Linked DNA regions of Callithrix jacchus. The protein of the gene in region 4 interacts with the protein of the main gene of each other region in a pairwise test. Links are inferred from orthologs where the notes say so. Each region holds a gene or a part of one and is shown on either strand. Other genes may lie near its edges.

The links.
Region 1: the proteins of HAX1 (region 4) and IL1A interact in binary tests that used the Homo sapiens proteins (3 or more experiments, as listed by UniProt). The link is inferred for Callithrix jacchus from reciprocal best matches to the Homo sapiens genes HAX1 and IL1A.
Region 2: the proteins of HAX1 (region 4) and HTT interact in binary tests that used the Homo sapiens proteins (3 or more experiments, as listed by UniProt). The link is inferred for Callithrix jacchus from reciprocal best matches to the Homo sapiens genes HAX1 and HTT.
Region 3: the proteins of HAX1 (region 4) and SAV1 interact in binary tests that used the Homo sapiens proteins (3 or more experiments, as listed by UniProt). The link is inferred for Callithrix jacchus from reciprocal best matches to the Homo sapiens genes HAX1 and SAV1.

Annotation. Positions count from the first base shown.
Region 1 is NC_133515.1:21,801,424-21,805,798, reverse strand, and holds part of IL1A (interleukin-1 alpha), read right to left. Parts: intron 4,075-4,375; coding exon 3,852-4,074; intron 3,558-3,851; exon of another isoform or gene 3,474-3,557; intron 1-3,473. UniProt on the Homo sapiens protein: Cytokine constitutively present intracellularly in nearly all resting non-hematopoietic cells that plays an important role in inflammation and bridges the innate and adaptive immune systems.
Region 2 is NC_133504.1:189,945,037-189,949,411, forward strand, and holds part of HTT (huntingtin), read right to left. Parts: intron 3,307-4,375; coding exon 3,168-3,306; intron 2,134-3,167; coding exon 2,011-2,133; intron 1-2,010.
Region 3 is NC_133509.1:85,225,212-85,229,586, forward strand, and holds part of SAV1 (protein salvador homolog 1), read right to left. Parts: intron 4,041-4,375; coding exon 3,597-4,040; intron 1-3,596. UniProt on the Homo sapiens protein: Regulator of STK3/MST2 and STK4/MST1 in the Hippo signaling pathway which plays a pivotal role in organ size control and tumor suppression by restricting proliferation and promoting apoptosis.
Region 4 is NC_133519.1:14,693,186-14,698,338, forward strand, and holds the start of HAX1 (HCLS1-associated protein X-1), read left to right. Parts: upstream 1-1,683; 5' UTR 1,684-1,766; coding exon 1,767-1,819; intron 1,820-2,360; coding exon 2,361-2,611; intron 2,612-2,762; coding exon 2,763-2,974; intron 2,975-4,584; coding exon 4,585-4,636; intron 4,637-4,787; coding exon 4,788-4,894; intron 4,895-5,024; coding exon 5,025-5,115; intron 5,116-5,153. UniProt on the Homo sapiens protein: Recruits the Arp2/3 complex to the cell cortex and regulates reorganization of the cortical actin cytoskeleton via its interaction with KCNC3 and the Arp2/3 complex. Slows down the rate of inactivation of KCNC3 channels. Promotes GNA13-mediated cell migration.

The DNA.
Region 1 (4,375 bases), on a different chromosome or scaffold from region 4:
TTTAAACCAACAAAGATCAGAAGAGACAAAAAAGGGCATTACATAATGGTAAAAGGATCAATGCATCAAGAAGAGCGAATGATCCTAAATATATAAACACCCAATACAGGAGCACTCAGGTTCATAAAGCAAGTTCTTAATGACTTACAAAGAGATTTAGACTCCCACACAATAACAGTGGGAGACTTTAACACTCCACTGTCAATATTAGACGGATCAACGAGACAGAAAATTAACAAGGATATCTAGGACTTGAACTCACATCTGGACCAAGCGGACCTAATAGACATCTACAGAAATCTCCACCCTAAATCCATAGGATATGCATTCTTCTCAGCACCACATCGCACCTACTCTAAAATTGACCACATAATTAGAAGTAAATCACTCCTCAGCAAATGCCAAAGAACGGAAATCATAACAAACAGTCTCTCAGACCACAGTGCAATCAAATTAGAACTCAGAATTAAGAAACTAACTCAGAACTGCACAACCTTCTCTTGGAAACTGAACAAGTGGATCCCAAATGTCAACTGGATAAACAATGAAATGAAGGCAGAAATAAAGATGATCTTTGAAACCAATGAGAACGAAGACACAACATACCAGGATCTCTGGGACACATTTAAAGCAGTGTCTAGAGGGAAATTTATAGCAATGAATGCCCACCAGAGAAGCAAGGAAAGATCTAAAATCGGCCCCCATTCATCAAAATTGAAAGAGCTAGAGGAAGAAGATTAAAAAACTCAAAAGCTAGCAGAAGACAAGAAATAACTATGATCAGAGCAGAACTGAAGGAGATAGAGACACAAAAAATCCTTCAAAAAATCAATAAATCCAGGAGCTGGTTTTTGGAATAGATCGACAAAATAGACAGACCACTATCAGGATTAATAAAAAAGAAAAGGGAGAGGAATCAGATGCAATAAAAAATGATAAAGGGGATATCACCACTGACTCCACAAATTACAATCAGAGATTACTACAAACAACTCTATGCACATAAACCAGTATACATGGAAGAAATGGATAAATTCCTGGACAGTTGCACCCTCCGAAGCCTAAACCAGGAAGAAGTTGAAACCTTCAAATGACCAATAACAAGGGCTGAAGTTGAGGCAGCAATTAATAGCCTACCAACCAAAAAAGTCCAGGTCCAGACAGGTTCACAGCAGCATTCTACCAGACGTACAAAGAGGAGCTGATACCATTCCTTCTGAAACTATTCCAAACAATCCAAAAAGGCAGAATCCTCCCGAAATCATTTTATGAGGCCAACATCATCCTGATACCAAAACCCAGCAGAGACTCAATAAGAAAAGAAAACTTCAGGCCAATATCCATGATGAACATAGATGCAAAAATCTTCAATAAAATACTGGCAAACCGATTGCAACAGCACATCAAAAAGCTTATCCATCATGATCAATTAGCCTTCATTCTGGGGACACAAGGCTGGTTCAACATACACAAGTCTATAAACATAATCCACCACATAAACAGAACCAAAGACAAAAACCACCTGATTATCTCAATAGATGAAGAGAAGGCCTTTGACAAAATTCAACTGCACTTTATGCTAAAAACCCTCAATAAACTCGGTATTGAAGGAACATATCTCAAAATAATAAAAGCTATTTATGACAAACCTACAGCTAATATCATACTGAATGGGCAAAAACTGGAAGCATTCCGTTTGAAATCCAGCACTAGACAAGGATGTCCTCTGTCACCACTCCTATTCAATATAGTATTTGGAAATTCTAGCCAGAGCAATCAGGCAAGAAAAAAAAATAAAGTGTATTCAATTAGGAAAGAAGGAAGTCAAATTATCTCTATTTGCAGATGACATGATTGTATATTTAGAAGACCCCATCATCTCAGCCCAAAATCTCCTTAAACTGATAAGCAACTTCAGCAAAGTCTCAGGATACAAAATCAATGTGCAGAAATCACAAGCATTCCTATACACCAATAACAGACTAACAGAGAGCCAAATCATGAGCAAACTCCCATTTACAATTACTACAAAGAGAATAAAATACTAGGAATACAACTAACAAAGGATGTAAAGGCCCTATTCAAGGAGAACTACAAACCACTGCTCAAGGAAATAAAAGAGGACACAAACAAATGGAGAAACATTCCATGCTCATGGTTAGGAAGAATCAATATCATGGAAATGGCCATGCTGCACAAAGTAATCTATAGATTCAATGCTATCCCCATCAAGCTACCAATGACCTTCTTCACAGATCTGGAAAAAAACACCTTAAACTTCATATGGAACCAAAAGAGAGCCCTCATAGCCAAGACAAACCTAAGCAAAATAAACAAAGTCAGAGGCATCACACCACCTGACTTCAGACCATACTACAAAACTACAGTAATCAAAACAGCATGGTACTGGTATGAAAACAGAGTTATAGACCAATGGAACAGAACAGAGGCCTTGGAGGCAATGCCACACATCTACAACTATCTGATCTTTGACAAACCTGACAAAAACAAGCAATGGGGAAAGGATACCCTGTTTAATAAATGGTGCTGGGAAAACTGGCTAGCAGTGTGCAGAAAGCAGAAACTGGACCCCTTCCTGACACCTGACACTAAAATTAACTCCAGATGGATTAAAGATTTAAAAATAAGACCTAACACCATAAAAACCCTAGAAGAAAACCAAGGCAAAACCATTCAGGACATAGGCATAGGCAAGGATTTCATGACTAAAACACAAAAAGCATTGGCAACAAAAGCCAAAATAGACAAATGAGACCTAATTAAACTCCAGAGCTTCTGTACAGCAAAAGAAACAATGATTAGAGTGAACCGGCAACCAACAGAATGGGAAACAATTTTTGCAATCTACCCATCTGACAAAGAGCTAATATCCAGAATCTACAAAGAACTAAAGCAGATTTACAAGAAAAAAACAAACAAACCAATCCAGAAGTGGGAGAAGGATATGAACGGACACTTTTTAAAAGAAGACATACATGAGGCCAACAAACATATGAAAAAATGCTCATCGTCACTGATTATTAGAGAAATGCAAATCAAAACCACATTGAGATACCACCTCACACCAGTTAGAATGGCGATCATTAAAAAATCTGGAGACAACAGATGCTGGAGAGGATGTGGAGAAATAGGAACACTTTTACACTGCTGGTGGGAGTGTAAATTAGTTCAACCATTGTGGAAGACAGTGTGGCGATTCATCAAGAACCTAGAAATAGAAATTCCATTTGACCCAGCAATCCCATTACTGGGTATATATCCAAAGGATCATAAATTGTTCTTTTATAAGGGCACATGCACACATATAATCATAGTGGCACTGTTTACAATAGCAAAGACCTGGAACTAACCCAAATGCCCATCAACAATAGACTGGACAAGGAAAATGTGGCACATACACACTGTGGAATATTATGCAGCCATAAGAAACGATGAGTTCGTCTCCTTTATAGGTACATGGATGAACCTGGAAACCATCATTCTCAGCAAACTGACACAAGAACAGAAAATCAAACACTGCATGTTCTCACTCACAGGTGGGTGTTGAATGGTGAGAACACCTGGACACAGGAAGGGGAGCATCACACACTGGGGTCTGTTGGTGGGGGCCAAGGGAGGGATGTGGAGGTGGGAGGTCGGGGAGGGATAACATGGGGAGAAATACCAGATGTAGGTGACGGGGGGATGGAGGCAGCAAACCACATTGCTGTGTGTGTACCTATGCAACAATCCTGCATGGTCTGCACATGTACCCCAGAACCTAAAGTACAATAAAATTAAAAATAAAAAAATCCTTGAAAACAAGGATATTATTGTGCTTGACCCCTTACCTTCTTCTATGTCATTGGCGATGCCCTCCAGGTCATCATCAGTGATGGAATGGTTTAAAGTCAACCGTCTCTTCTTCAGAACCTTCCCATTGGTTGACACTATCACCACACTCTCCTTGAAGGTAAGCTTGGATGTCTTAGAGGTTTCAGAGATACTCAGAGACACAGACTGATCCATGCATTCTTCATGGTGTGAGCCATAGTTTACATCATAGAAGGATTTCTATTATGAAGGAAAACAGAAACTGAGAGGCTGTCCATGATCAGGAAAAGAAAGTCTGTTCAACAGGTGCTATATTCAACAGATGTAGCGAGAAGGATCTCCATTCTGGACTTAGGTAACTCGTGTTTCATTGGGCTTCCCTCCTTCTCTCCTCCCTCTCTCCCTTCTGTCTCAGCTTTCTTCCTCCTTTTCTTCCAGGATAAAGAGATGTATGATTTTTAGGAGGACTTTTTTCATTTATTTGCATGCTCAAAAATGAGATGTTGTAACTAAATAGGTTAACAATGATTGTAGTGAGGTG
Region 2 (4,375 bases), on a different chromosome or scaffold from region 4:
TAAAATGTATTTCTATTCTCTTTTGGTATTTTAATTTTTAATGCTCTTGGATTTGCTTGAAATAAAAATTTTGGTATGACAATTTTAATTCATAAAACAGAAAATCTAAATAAAAGCAAAAGTGTCATCTAAGACATCAGTGATACACCAGTAATTCCTGAAGCTTGAGAAAGTTGTTCAAATGTAGCTGAAATAAGTAAAAGCAGCCATGTGAATGCCACAATTTTGGTTGGAAAAATGGTATTTCCTACGACAATCTGTATTATGTTTTCCCAACTTTTTGTTTAGCCATTTCAGGATTGGGGGCCAGTTTTTCAGGTAAAACATCAATCTTAAGTTTAATACTCAGAGAAGCATAATTAATGCCAAAAGCTGAAGCTTTCTTCTACAGACAGAACTTCTATAGCTGTTCAAGTCCAAAGAGCAAACCTGAAAAACCTAGTAAGCCAATCACTAAGCAAACTCATCACTCATAAGTCAGCTTTCACTGCATGAATCTTAAACGATTTTAGCAAACCAATTTTGGGCGAGTTCTCCTGTTTTCAGTATAGCTCTTCAATGCGTCAGAACACCCTGTTGTGCTGCGTTCCCTGAAAGGTCTTTTCATGAACACCTGCAGCCACCCCCAGCTCTACATGCCTTTGCCCTCCCAGGTGCCCACTTCCCTCCCATTTGCTGCTTATCGACGCAGGGCTAACACACCAGGAAGTTTCTCCCGTCCCAGCAGGTCCGAGAGGAAACCCTGCTCGGGCCACAGCTGCACCACACGCAAGAGGCAGGCCCCTGCTGCTCACAGGACCTGTCCATGGGCTTGGAGTACAGGGACACCAAGGCCTCCTGGGCTGGCTCTGCACAGGGTGCCCTCTGACATCTGGGATTGGGAGGTGAAGAACCTCACTACATCTAACAGAGGTATGGGTAGAGGAAATCTCACTGCATCCAAGAGTCTCCTTTAACTTCCAGAATAAACATGCTATTGAAGGCATGCATGATGTTGTGTCAAAGTCTATGGCAAATATGCAACCTTGACTTCCATTCTGTGTTGGCCAATGAGTGTAGGTGATAAAATCCCGTGTTTGTTCCTCTGGTGGAGGCCAAATAGTTCTCATCCTAAACCATACACCCAGCCTTGGGGCCAGCTGAATTTCAAAACAGTACCTCCTCTTGAGAGAGGGTTCCCATCAACTTGTTTCAAATTCCACAGTTGCCTGCTTCCAATTGCCATCCAGTTTCTACCCTGCTCCCCTGCCGCTCATATTCCCCACCACAGATGCCAATCGGAGTGCCCAGGGCCACACTTCATTCCCTCATATTCTCGACCTCAGACAACAATCCAAAACCCTTCCTCACTGCCATGAGAACAAAGAAGCAAACTGACTATAATACAAGATCACCTCCTTTTTTTTTTTTTCTGAGACGGAGTTTCGCTTTTGTTGCCCAGGCTGGAGTGCAGTGGCACAATCTCGGCTCACCGCAACCTCTGCCTCCTGGGTTCAAGCAATTCTCCTGCCTCAGCCTCCCGAGTAGCTGGGATTACAGGCATGCACCACCATGCCCAGCTAATTTTTGTATTTTTAGTAGAGATGGAGTTTCTCCATGTTGGTCAGGCTGGTTTCGAACTCCTGACCTCAGGTGATCCGCCCGCCTTGGACTCCCAAAGTGCTGAGATTACAGGCATAAGCCACCACACCTGGCCACCATCTACATTTTCTTTAAATGCATGAAAGGTTGAGTGAAATCAACTTGCCTTCTTGGATTCTAACATGGCTGAAATAATGTGCTTTCCTATCTGGATCAGCATATCCCCCACGTCCCAGCCCCATCTGAAATCGAGTCCTCCCCACTTCCCAGCCCCATTCAGACAGGAGTCTCCCCAGCCTCCTGTCCATAGCCAGAGTGGAGTCCCCAGCAGGTGTTGTCAACAAGTGGGTCATGATGATGAGACAAATCCCACTTGGAAGTCACAAGTAAAAGTTGAGGATTCCTTGCCTCCGCTGCTCCCCCCCGTACCGAGTTCATCATGAAGGCACTCATATCTTCAGCAGGAATCCGATTCACCAACTCTGCACCTTCCAGCAGTGCAGAGTCTGACCTGGTCCAACACTGGGATTTGACAAGATGGATGTACCAGTCCTGAGAAGAAAAAATGGATACAGGGAACATGATGGGCGGCATTCAAGGGGTCTTCACATTCCTGGAGCTACGGGCCTAGGCCAGTGCTTGGGAACACTGCACTGGGCTAACCAAGAGGGACAACAGCCAGCATGCTGTGGCCCTATGGGTCCCCACACCACAGGTGTGGGGAGCCATACCACCTTTGGACTTCCGTTACCTGCCTGAGCACCCTTGCAGTCTCCCTGTCACCTCGTGAACTTCCAACAGTCCTTCCAAATACAGCTTTATGTGGGGAGCCATACCACCTTTGGACTTCCGTTACCCACACCACCTTTGGACTTCCGTTACCTGCCTGAGCACCCTTGCAGTCTCCCTGTCACCTCGTGAACTTCCAACAGTCCTTCCAAATACAGCTAAAGCACTAAGGGTTAGCAGCCCCTTTACATCCTCCCTGGGCTTTGCTTTGCTCGTCTCTCCCCAGCAACCAGGGCAGGGCAGGTGCAACAAAGCCTAAGAAGGCAGGACTGAACATTCGCTTTCCTATACTTGGGCTGCGGGTTTTTGAAATCTAAATTCACATTCATAAGCTGAACTCTCTCCAGGAAAGTAGAGTACCAAGGCTCTACCAAGGCTCCAGGCAGTCCCTAAGTAACCCTGAGTGTGAGCAGTGGAGGTGCTGACAACATGCCAGAATGGCTGGCAGTGGTGGTGCAACTGACAGGAGGCCAGAAGGCGTAAGGAAATGGAGGCAGGCTAAACGCACTGACAGGTGCTTGAAGGCCTGTGCAGTCAGAATCCTGCAGGCCCTGGCCAACCTTCCCTTGATTCACCCACTAACTACTGGGCCCCATACTCCTAACATATGGGTCCCACATCCTAGGACCTTAGTGGTGCCCCACATCTCTAACCAAAGCTGGCTCGGGCCGAGCCCCAGACTCCTTGGGTTCACTGTACCTCCTCTGCACACTCTCTATCTGCTAGAGGTGACAGTGGCACTCAGCACCACCCTGCATGTGCCCTGTACCTCCCATGCAGACAGGCTGGACACTTACTTTGTCTGGACTCACTGTTTCCAGTGACACGTGCCCATCCCCGTCCAGCGGGTGGGAAGAGACTGGAGGAGAGGGACTGAGTGAGTCTTGCAGGGTGGAGAGACGAAACCTGTCCAGCAGGGAATAGAGCCTTTGGTGTCTAAAATACAAACAAAAATGAAGTTACAACACAATTTTTTTTTTTTTAGTCTTAGTCTAAACTCCGCAAACTAGGAGTCTAGAAATATACACTAAAAGGACTCACGCTTAGTGGCTTCTTAAAGGAAAACGCAACTTGTTTAAAACTTTTTCTTTACAGCTGTTTTCTCACCAACACTCAAACAGATCATGATACAAATGCAGGCCCTAGTTGACTTTCAAGTCACAGTTTGTATTCTATTATTATTTCCCAGAAATTTCACTTCTGGAATATACTCAAAACATTGCAACAGGCAATACGTGGTATAAAGGCATTCTTAATAAATGTAAAACAGATCATCTATCCTAAAACTCAAGTGTACAAACTCCACCACAAATATCCCGGTGAAACAACTGATACGAATTTATGGTCATTTCAAGATAAAATCACCTCATCTGGTGCAAGATATTTATAATCTTTTAATCTTCCTCATCTGGACCGAAGACTAAGTCTGAGGTTAAGAAGTAATAGTTTATCTCCCACCATCTGCTAGGAGAGTGACAACTTCAAAATGCAAATTGTAAAATAGCTTGGCCCTACAGACTGAAATATCATCCCAAACTGACTGTCCGCCAAACTGTGCCCAATCCCATTTACAAATACCATCAAGGTACTCTTAAGACTGAAATCAAAGCATAATTATCTGTGTGTGTGCATGTGCATGTGCATGTGTGTGTTTTGGCAGTTTTAGCTCAAAGTATACAGCATAGTAATTATATCCTCCTTCTCTGCTGTCTCTCTCCCTCTCACAAACACAATCTTCCCCAACCCAGAGAAGAAAAAGGATAAAAGTTTAACTGGTTTTGCAGTCACGGAAACACTCACACAGGAGATGTAAGGATCTCTGATAAAGGCTTCTCAGAGACTCTGCAAATGTAACTGATTAAATGCTGCAAGGAGATAAAATGGCCACAGGATGCAGATACAACTCCTGCATGCCAAGGATTCAGTAGTGTCTTTCAGATTTGTCAGCTCTTATTTAGCAATTAGACGACACGCTTTGATTTTGCTGAGATAAAGCTGATAACCT
Region 3 (4,375 bases), on a different chromosome or scaffold from region 4:
TGTTTTTAAGGTCTTAGCCATAAAATCTGTTAGACTGATGTCCTCAAGTGTTTCCCCTACATTTTCTTCTAGTAGTTTTATAATTTCAGGTGTTAAGTCTTTAATCCATCTTCAGTTGAATTTTGCATATGGTGAGAGACAAGAATCAGGTTTCATTCTTCCGCATATGGATATCCAATTTTTCCAGCATCATTTATTGAAAAGGGTGTCCTTTTCCTAATGTACGTTCTTGTTGCTTTTGCAAAAAAATCAGTTGGCTGCAAATATGTGAATTTATTTCTGCGTTATCTGTTTTGTTCCATGGGTCTATATGCCTCTTTCTATATCAATGCCATGCTATTTTGGTTACAACAGCCTTTTAAGACAGGTAGTGTGATGCTTCTAGCTTTTTCTGTTTGCTCAAGATTACTTTGGCTATTTGGGCTCCTTGTTGGTTCTGTAGAAATTTTAGGATTGTTTTATTTCTGTGAAAAATGACTGGTATTTTAGGCTGGGCACGGTGGCTCACGCCTGTAATCCCAACACTTTGGGAAGCCGAAGTGGGTGGATCACAAGGTCAGGAGTTCAAGATCAGCCTGGTCAAGATGGTGAAACCCTGTCTCTACTAAAAATACAAAAATTAGCCAAGTACGGTAGCAGGTGCCTATAATCCCAGCTACTCAGGAGGCTGAGGCAGGAGAACTGCTTGAACCCTGGAGGCAGAGGTTGCAGTGAGCCGAGATTGCACCACTGCACTCTAGCCTGGGCAACAAAGCAATACTCTGTCTTAAAAAAAAAAAGAAAAGAAAAGAAAAAAATGACTGTTATTTTAATAGGAATTGTACAGAATATGTAGATTACTTTGGGCAATATTGTCATTTTAATGATGTTAATTCTTCTGATCCACAAGCATGGGATGTCTTTCCACTTGTTTTTGTGCTTTTCAATTTCTTTCATCAGTGATCTGAAATCTAAATTTTTTTAAATGACATACTTGAATTTGAAAACTTATAATTAACTTTTACTTTATTGGAAAGTTGTTTTAAAGTCTGTTTTTAAACTTTTAAAAATTATGTCAAATTGCTCCTAAGAAAGGATCAGTAGAGATTTAGTTCTTATAGTATTTCCTCGACTATATTTTGCAAATTCAATTTTGAAAACAAAAGTTTAACTTATTATTTATTCTTCATATTTACATACTTATAACTCAGGTAGAAAAGTATTACAAGCTTTCAGTGATGTCTGCAATATAGATGGGAAAGGTGAATGCAAAGAGTAACACATATTCTATAGCAACAGTAAACATGGCTATTTCTGTTGCCCCTCAGCTACCAAAAACTCTCTTAAGTCTCCAGATTTAAAACCTCTCGGTTCATTCACTCATTCAGCCATTTATTTTTGTAAGCATCTGTTAGGCAGTCATGTGGCTGTGCTAATCCTATTTGACTCTTCTTTCTCCTTTGTCCTTCAAACCCCATTAGTGGTCAAGTCCCATTAATTTGGGCATGACCCACTTTTTCCCCTTTCCAAATTTTTGAAGTACAGGTCAAGCCTTCATTAACCACTGAATATGCACCAAATGGAAGATTATACAGTCATTAAAACTACTCATAAAAAGTATACAACATGAAGAAAATGATTCAAGTAAAAAGCAAGAACAGAAAACTATACAAAATATTATATAATCACATCAATATAAAAAAAGAATTTGGCATGAAAAAAATGAAGCAAATAATATACTGAGATCTCTAGCAGATGGGTACTTTGCCTTTACTTTGCTGCAGATTTGCTGCCTTTACTTTGCTGCAGATTTCCTATAATAAGCAGTTATTATTCTAGAAGAAAATATAAACGAGCTTTATTTTTTAAAACTATTTTAGTTAGATAACAAATTATTCCTGAGGTTCAGAAGTGCATATCAGAAACAACCAAAATAAACACTCAAGCATGCAGTTGTCTTAATCCTTTAACCTAATTCTTTAAAAACGAAAAGGTGCTCACCCATGGCTCTTACTGCACTTCTACATGCCCAGAAAACCTCTGCTCTTAATGTTCCAGTGAGACTCTGATGTCAGCTTTCATAAATAAGTTGTTCTTACCAACTACTTCACGTTATTTAAAACTTCAGTGATTTGCTTTCTCCTAAACTCTAATTCTCATTTTTCCTTCAAAAACGTCCTAGATTTCCCTTTCCTATTACCACTGGTACCCACTGGTACCTGCAATCCTCTTTTCTCTAGGAATCTACCCTTAATTCTAGTACAAAAGTAATCTTTAAACACTGCTTTCATAGAATCACTTGTCTTTTTGAAATGTGCAATAACTTCCACTTGACTCAAATCTATAAGCCTATTGTTGAACCACAAATCTCCATTCCATGTTACATCTTATTTCTTCAAACCAGGCAGAGCTACACTGTTCGTTAGATTTAAACCAGGCCTACTCTGTTTTCATTGTGTTATTCCCAATTTTCCACATAAAATGTCCTTCTTCTGGCCCCTGTTCATCTAAAGGCCAAGCTTGAGGCCCAGTCCAAGTCCAACCTCTTCTATGAATCATCTCTTTAAGTATTTCAGTCTACACTAATATCTCTCTGACTCCCTGTTGCACTTACAGTTAGTATCACAAAGTATAACAATTGCTTTGTGACCATTGTGTATAAACTGGTTTTGTTTCCCCAAAGAAGGTACCAGACAAATAAGGTACCAGAAAGCAGAGACCAACAGGCCCAAGGAAAACGCTAGACACGTAAACAATTAATACTAAATGAATAAATTTTTCTACAGTCAAAATACTAATGCTCCAAAACATTTTTAAAGTCACCTTATTTGAACTTATGTGGGCCAAAAAGTAAATCTCTCTCATATTTTATTTTTATCCTGCCAAAATTTAAAGTCTATTACTTGGTAGAAAAAAATAATCAGACAAGAAAGTTTTATTTTCTTCTTGCTTCATTTTATCTAGTGAAACCAGGACTTTAGGAATAAAGTAGAACTGTACATTTCTCCAATCTCTTCTGCTTCTTTCAGAAGTATCTCCAAGTCAGAAGATATAAAAAGTACCTTACTTTCCTTAATTATATGGTAATATTTTTTGCCTGTTACAAAAAGAATAAAAAGACATGCTCAACACACAACCGTATGGCAGTAAGTCTTTCTGATCAACTCAGGAAAGAATTCCTGAACTACTAAATCAGTTTTGTTCAAAGAAAAACTGCAGTAATGTACTTGCTCACGGTATCACTGAGCATGCCCAATTCTTCCTATTCTTTCCTTTCCCAAGTTTAAGTCCAGTGGCTCTGAAGATGTACCCTTCCCATTATTCTACCAAATCTGAACATAAATTCAACCCAACTGGAGACATTAAATTCTCTAGGTTTACAAGAGTCACAGCATTAAGAGACTAGACAGCCTTGAGATAAGAACCAGGTTTATACAACACAAGTTAATTCATTCAGTATAGATTACCAACTATTTGCACACAGGCTTAAGCAAGACTAGCAAAGTAGAAAAGTATTTTGCTAGGAGTATTAGTTTGTGCCCCAAGAAAATCTAGAAAAGAACATCTTTTCACTTGACATGTCAATAAACTACTATAGTATTTATATGTTAAGCTACCTGAAGCATGCCTCCCCTGATTCTGAGGCATTCTTTGGAAGAGATCATGGTTGTATTCATAATATCTGAATTCTTCATGTGTACGATCTCCAAGTGGCCGCTTTCTCTGACCATCAAAAAAATTGTCTGAATAATAGTATCGGGAACCAGAGTCTCCATTTTCAACAGCAAAATTAACTTCCGTTACAAATGACTGAGAAGAGCCATACTCTCTAGGGACATCTGCTAGACTTCTGGCAAGATAAGAAGGTGCAGATAATCTGTTGCTTTCTCTTCTCATTATTTCATGAGGTGTTCTTTGAATTGGAGTTCTAAGGAAACTCTGGTTTCTTGAAACTACCCCATCTCCAGAAGCTGAAAAGGCATTAGGGCTTGAATCTGGAAGACAGATATCAGTTCGTCTGGGAATTGTTGGACCATGCCGGATGAATGAAGGCATAAGATCTATAATGAAACAAAGGATAAAATTAGCCTTTTAATAAGTAACAAAAGCAGTTTTCAAAAGTTGTTCATTTGTGTCTACAACCCCAAAATCAAAATGTCAGTAAACTTAAGAAAACACAATTTTGGGCCGGGCACGGTGGCTCACACCTGTAACCCCAGCACTTTGGGAGACCAAGGCGGGTGGATCACAAGATCAGGAGATGGAGACCATCCCGGCCAATATCGTGAAAACCCGTCTCTACTAAAAATACATAAAATATAGCTGGGTGTGGTGGCGCAGGCCTGTAGTCCCAGCTACTCAGGAGGCTACGGCAGGAGAACTGCTTGAACCCAGG
Region 4 (5,153 bases):
AGACTCGCTTGAACCCGGGAGGTGGAGGTTGCGGTGAGCCGAGATTGCACCATTGCACTCCAGTCTGGGCAACAACAGTGAAACTCCGTCTCAAAAAAAAAAAAAAAAAAAAAAAGACTACCCATTGGGTACAGTACATTGCTTGGGTGATGGGTGCACTAAAATCTCAGAAATCACCACTAAAGAACTCATCCATGTAACCAAACACCACCTGTACCCCAAAAACTATCAAAATAAACTAAACCTTGGGGCCCATTCCCCCTAGGAATGGACTACTGTAGTAGTTGCTTCTTGGGTGCTTTTCTGTGAGATAGCTATATCCAATCCTTAAAGAGTCTAGAGAAAGGTCTGGCCTGGAGATGGGGTACAGGGAGACAGGTGGAGAGGCTTTGAAAAATAAATGATACAACAGTAAACAAAATACTGAAAAAAAAAAAAATGAGGCCAGGCACAGTGGCTAATGCACTTTGGGATGCCGAGGTGGGTGGATCACCTGAGGTCAGGAGTTCGATATGGTGAAACCCTGTCTCTATAAAAAATAACCAAGGTAGGGCTTGGTGGCTGGGGCCTCTAATCCCAGCTACTCGGGGGACTGAGGCAGGAGAATCACTTGAACCCGGGAGGGAGACATTGCAGTAAGCCGAGATGGCGCCACTGCACTCTAGCCTAGGAAACTCTTATCTCAAAAAAAAAAAAAAAAAAGGGACACTTCTTTATAGTCCTCAATTTGTCCCTTCTCAGGATTCAACTAGCTTCCTTTCACTCGCTTTCTTAAAAATCCTTTGGTTGGTTGCAGACAGCCTGCTTAGAAAAAAAAATCCTGGCCAGTCGCGGTGACTCGCGCCTGTAATTCCAACACTTGGGGAGGTCGAGAAGGAAGAATCACGAGGTCAGGAGATCGAGACCATCCTGGCTCTGAAACCCGTCTCTACTAAAAATACAAAAAAATTAGCCGGATGTGGTGGCACGCGCCTGTAGTCTCGGCTACTCGGGAGGCTGAAGCAGCAGAATCGTTTGAACCCGGGAGGCGGAGGTTGCAGTGAGCCGAGATTGCGCCACTGCACTCCAGCCCGGGTGACAGAGACTCCGTCTCCCCACCCCAAAAAAATCCTGTATGGTTATAACAAACTCCCTAGTAGCTAGAGAGATGAAGTCTATGTGTCACTTATGTCTTGATCTCTTCTCTGGGGAATTCAATACTAAAAGGAGCTTGGAGAAACATTTTTTTGTTCATCCCTCTAACAGCAGACATCACCCAGGTCAGTCAAAAGCTTCGGAGTAAGGGGCGAGGTGGTTTCGGCGGTGAGGCTGGCCAGCACCGGGGGTGGGGAGGTTTGAGGGATGCCCTCAAGCCGGCCCATTTGTGCGGCTGGGAGGCCCTCTGGCGGCTTTATCCGGGTGCCTTCCAGAGTCAAACCCTCGAAATTGCTTTCCGGACCGAGTTGGTCTGCAGAAAGGAGAACAGATTTAAGAGGAAGGCGGTCATAGGTAAACTGAACGTCCGTCACGCCCACTCCTGTCACGGAAACTGGCCTCTAAAAGGTGGGGTAAAGATAAAGCCTCTGAAATTTGAGGAAGACCTTCCGCTCTGTCTCCCTTTCACGTCCGACTTACAGTCTTTTACGACAGTATTCGGATCGCGCGCGGGCTTGCTTTCCGGCAGCGTGGGCTGACGTCTCGCTCGTTTTCCTACGGGGCTGCGCAGGTTTCACTCTTCTGCGAATCGGCCAGTGGAGGGGTTTAAATGTTCGAGTGCCAATACGGGAATGAGCCTCTTTGATCTCTTCCGGGGCTTTTTCGGCTTTCCTGGACCTCGGAGGTGAGAGTAGGTCCGGGTCGGACAAGGGTGAGGTCGTCTGAGAAGAGTTTGACCCCTTACGTCTTATTTTTGGGAAAACATCCTCTGGCCTACTCCTTCAACCCCTGTGAAGTCGTAACATTGAGCACTCGCCCCGCCACAGTAACCAGGGTGGTCGTTAAGAGGAGAAACAGCAAACTAAGCCTTTCTCCAACCTGGGGTGATGCAACAAGGACCCGGGCGGGATAGACAATTGGGGTCTGGGGAAGAGGACAGCGGGCTTGTGACCAGGACCTTGGGAGAGAGGGGAGGGGCTGGGGCACACTTAAGGAAAACTGGGGAAAGGTGTTTGAAGGGAGTTGCGAGCTGAGGTCTGACTTTGATAAAAAACAAAACCAGAACTGTCGGACATTGTATTAATATTTTGATGTGGCAGCCAGCCCTCCGACCCTCTCCCCAGCTTCCCAAATCGCTTGCTCTTGTCCCACTTTGCCACCCATGAGTTGATTTTATGGCTTAAGTCGTGCTGAAATCTTGGTGGCCAATCTGCCTCCACTCTCAGCCACAGAGATCCCTTTTTTGGAGGGATGACTCGAGATGAAGATGATGAGGAGGAAGAGGAAGAAGGAGGCGCATGGGGCCGTGGGAACCCCAGGTTCGATAGTCCTCAGCCCCCTGAGGAATTTGGCTTCAGCTTCAGCCCAGGAGGAGGGATACGTTTACATGATAACTTCGGCTTTGATGACCTAGTACGAGATTTCAATAGCATCTTCAGCCATATGGGGGCCTGGACCTTGCCTTCTCATCTTCCTGGTGTGTGGCTTTCCCTGAGGCACAACCTGTGGTTTCTAGTGGGTTGGTGGGTGAAATAAAGAGCCTGCAGGGAGTAGCTGGGGGATGGGACGTGTGAGAAGATGGATAATTTCAGGGAGATGTATACAGCCCAAGTTCTTTCCCACCCCAGCAAACACCTGCCACCTTTCTGCAGAACTTCCAGGTCCTGAGTCAGAGACACCTGGTGAGAGACTGCGGGAGGGACAAACACTTCGGGACTCAATGCTTAAGTATCCAGATAGTCACCAGCCCAGGATCTTTGGGGGGGTCTTGGAGAGTGATGCAAGAAGTGAATCCCCCAAACCAACACCATACTGGGGCTTCCAGAGACCATTTCATAGGGTGAGTATCCCATCTGGGCCTGAAGTGAGAGCTTGTGAGAGACTACTAATTAAAAGTGCAAAGATTGGCCAGGTGCGGTAGCTTAACGCCTGTAATCCCAGCACTTTAGGAGGCTGAGACAGGCGGATCACCTGAAGTGAAGAGTTAGAGACCAGCCTGGTCAACATGGTGAAATACCATCTCTGCCAAAAATACAAAAAATTAGTAGGTTGTGGTGGCAGGCACCTGTTTTCCCAGCTACTCAGGAGGCCAAGGCAGGAGAGGGGCTTGAACCCAGGAGGCAGAGGTTGCAGTGAGCTGAGATCACACCATTGCACTCCAGCCTAGGCGACAAGAGCAAGACTTCATCTCAAAAAAAATAAATAAATAAAAGGCCAGGTGTAGTGGCTCACGCCTGTAATCCCAGAGACAGGAGGATCACCTGAGGTCAGGCATTTGACACCAGCCTGGCTAACATGGTGAAACCCCATCTCTAATAAAAATAAAAAATTAGCTGGATGTGGTGGTGTGCCCCTGTAGTCCCAGCTACTTGGGAGGCTGAGGCAGGATAATTGCTTGAACCCAGGACAAGGACATTTCAGTGAGCTGAGATCATGCCACTGCTCTCCAGCCTGGGTGATAGAGTAAGACTGTCTCAAAAAAAAAAAAAAAAAAAAAGGCCAGGTACAATGGCTCACGCCTGTAATCCCAGCCCACTTTGGGAGGTGGGCAGATCACAAGGTTAGGAGTTCAAGACCAGCCTGATCAACATGGTGAAACCCCTTCTCTACTTAAACTACAAAAAAATTAGCCAGGCATGGTGGTACATGCCTGTAATCCCAGCTATCTGGGCTGAGGCAGGAGAATCGCTTGAACCCAGGAGGTGGAAGGGGAAAAAAGGTGCAAAAAGGGTGCAAATATTGGACTTTTTTTTTTTTTTTGAGAACGAATCTTGCTCTTTCACCGAGGCTGGAGGGCAGTTGCATGTTCTCAGCTTACTGCAACCTCTGATTCCCAGGATCAAGTGATTCTCCTACCTCATCCCCCTGAGGAGCTGGGATTATAGTCACCCCCCAAACACCCAGCTAATTTTTGTATTTCTGGTAGAGATGAGGTTTCATCATGTTGGCCAGGCTACTTTCGAGCTCCTGACCTCAGGCGATCCACCTGCCTCAACCTTCCAAAGTGCTGGGATTAGAAGCATGAGCCATTGTGCCTGGCCAAAGATTGCATTTCTTGTTTGAATCTGATAGCTTTGGGTTGGAATCCTAGCCCCCCATTTAGTGTGTTTATATGTTTTCTATATTAAGCTCATGGGGTTTTTTTTTAGAGGGAAATGGGTGTTCTGTTTCTTAAAAAAACAAAACAAAAATACCACTGGTCTACATAATTCTTGGATAAGGCAGGATTGTGCACAGAGGATAGGAATATATTAGTTGAGGAAATTTTTCTGGTAGAAGGATATATAAAACAGCCAGGAAGGAGGAAACAGTGGGTAAATAGAGCTATTCTGAATGGAATTCTCTGTCCTCTGGAAGGGGGTTTTGGAGTTTGGGAGTAGTTTGGGGTCTATAACCTTTCAAGTTTCAGATTGGAAGGTGTCTTTTCACTTACTATGGTTTCTTCTGCAGTTTGATGACATATGGCCTGTGGACCCTCATCCTAGAACCAGAGAGGACAATGGTAAGTCTGGAGGAAGGGGAAGTTTACCAGTCTTTTGTTACTCTTCTGAAATTCTGTCTGTTCTCCCTCAGACCTGAAGTTTCTTCCTGTACACTTGTCTCTTTTTTCCCTTGGAATCTTTCTCTCCTGGTTCTTTTCTCTGCTCTTCCAGATCTTGATGCCCAGGTTGCCCAGGAGGGTCTTGGCTCGGTTCTACAGCCCCAGCCCAAATCCTATTTCAAGAGCATCTCTGTGACCAAGATCACTAAGCCAGATGGGGTGAGTTGAAAGAAAGAGGTAAAGTAAACTGTGGCCAGGGAATGAATGCCCTGATACAAGGATCTTTAAAGAAACTGCTGAGCATAACCTTTAGTGATGTTAAGATTATGGCGGGGATTTCTTCTTGTAGGTAGTGGAGGAGCGCAGGACGGTGGTAGACAGTGAGGGCCGGACAGAGACCACAGTAACCCGACATGAAGCAGATAGCAGTCCTAGGGGTGGTAAGTTAAAAGTCAAAAGGATCCATCTCAAGATTCCT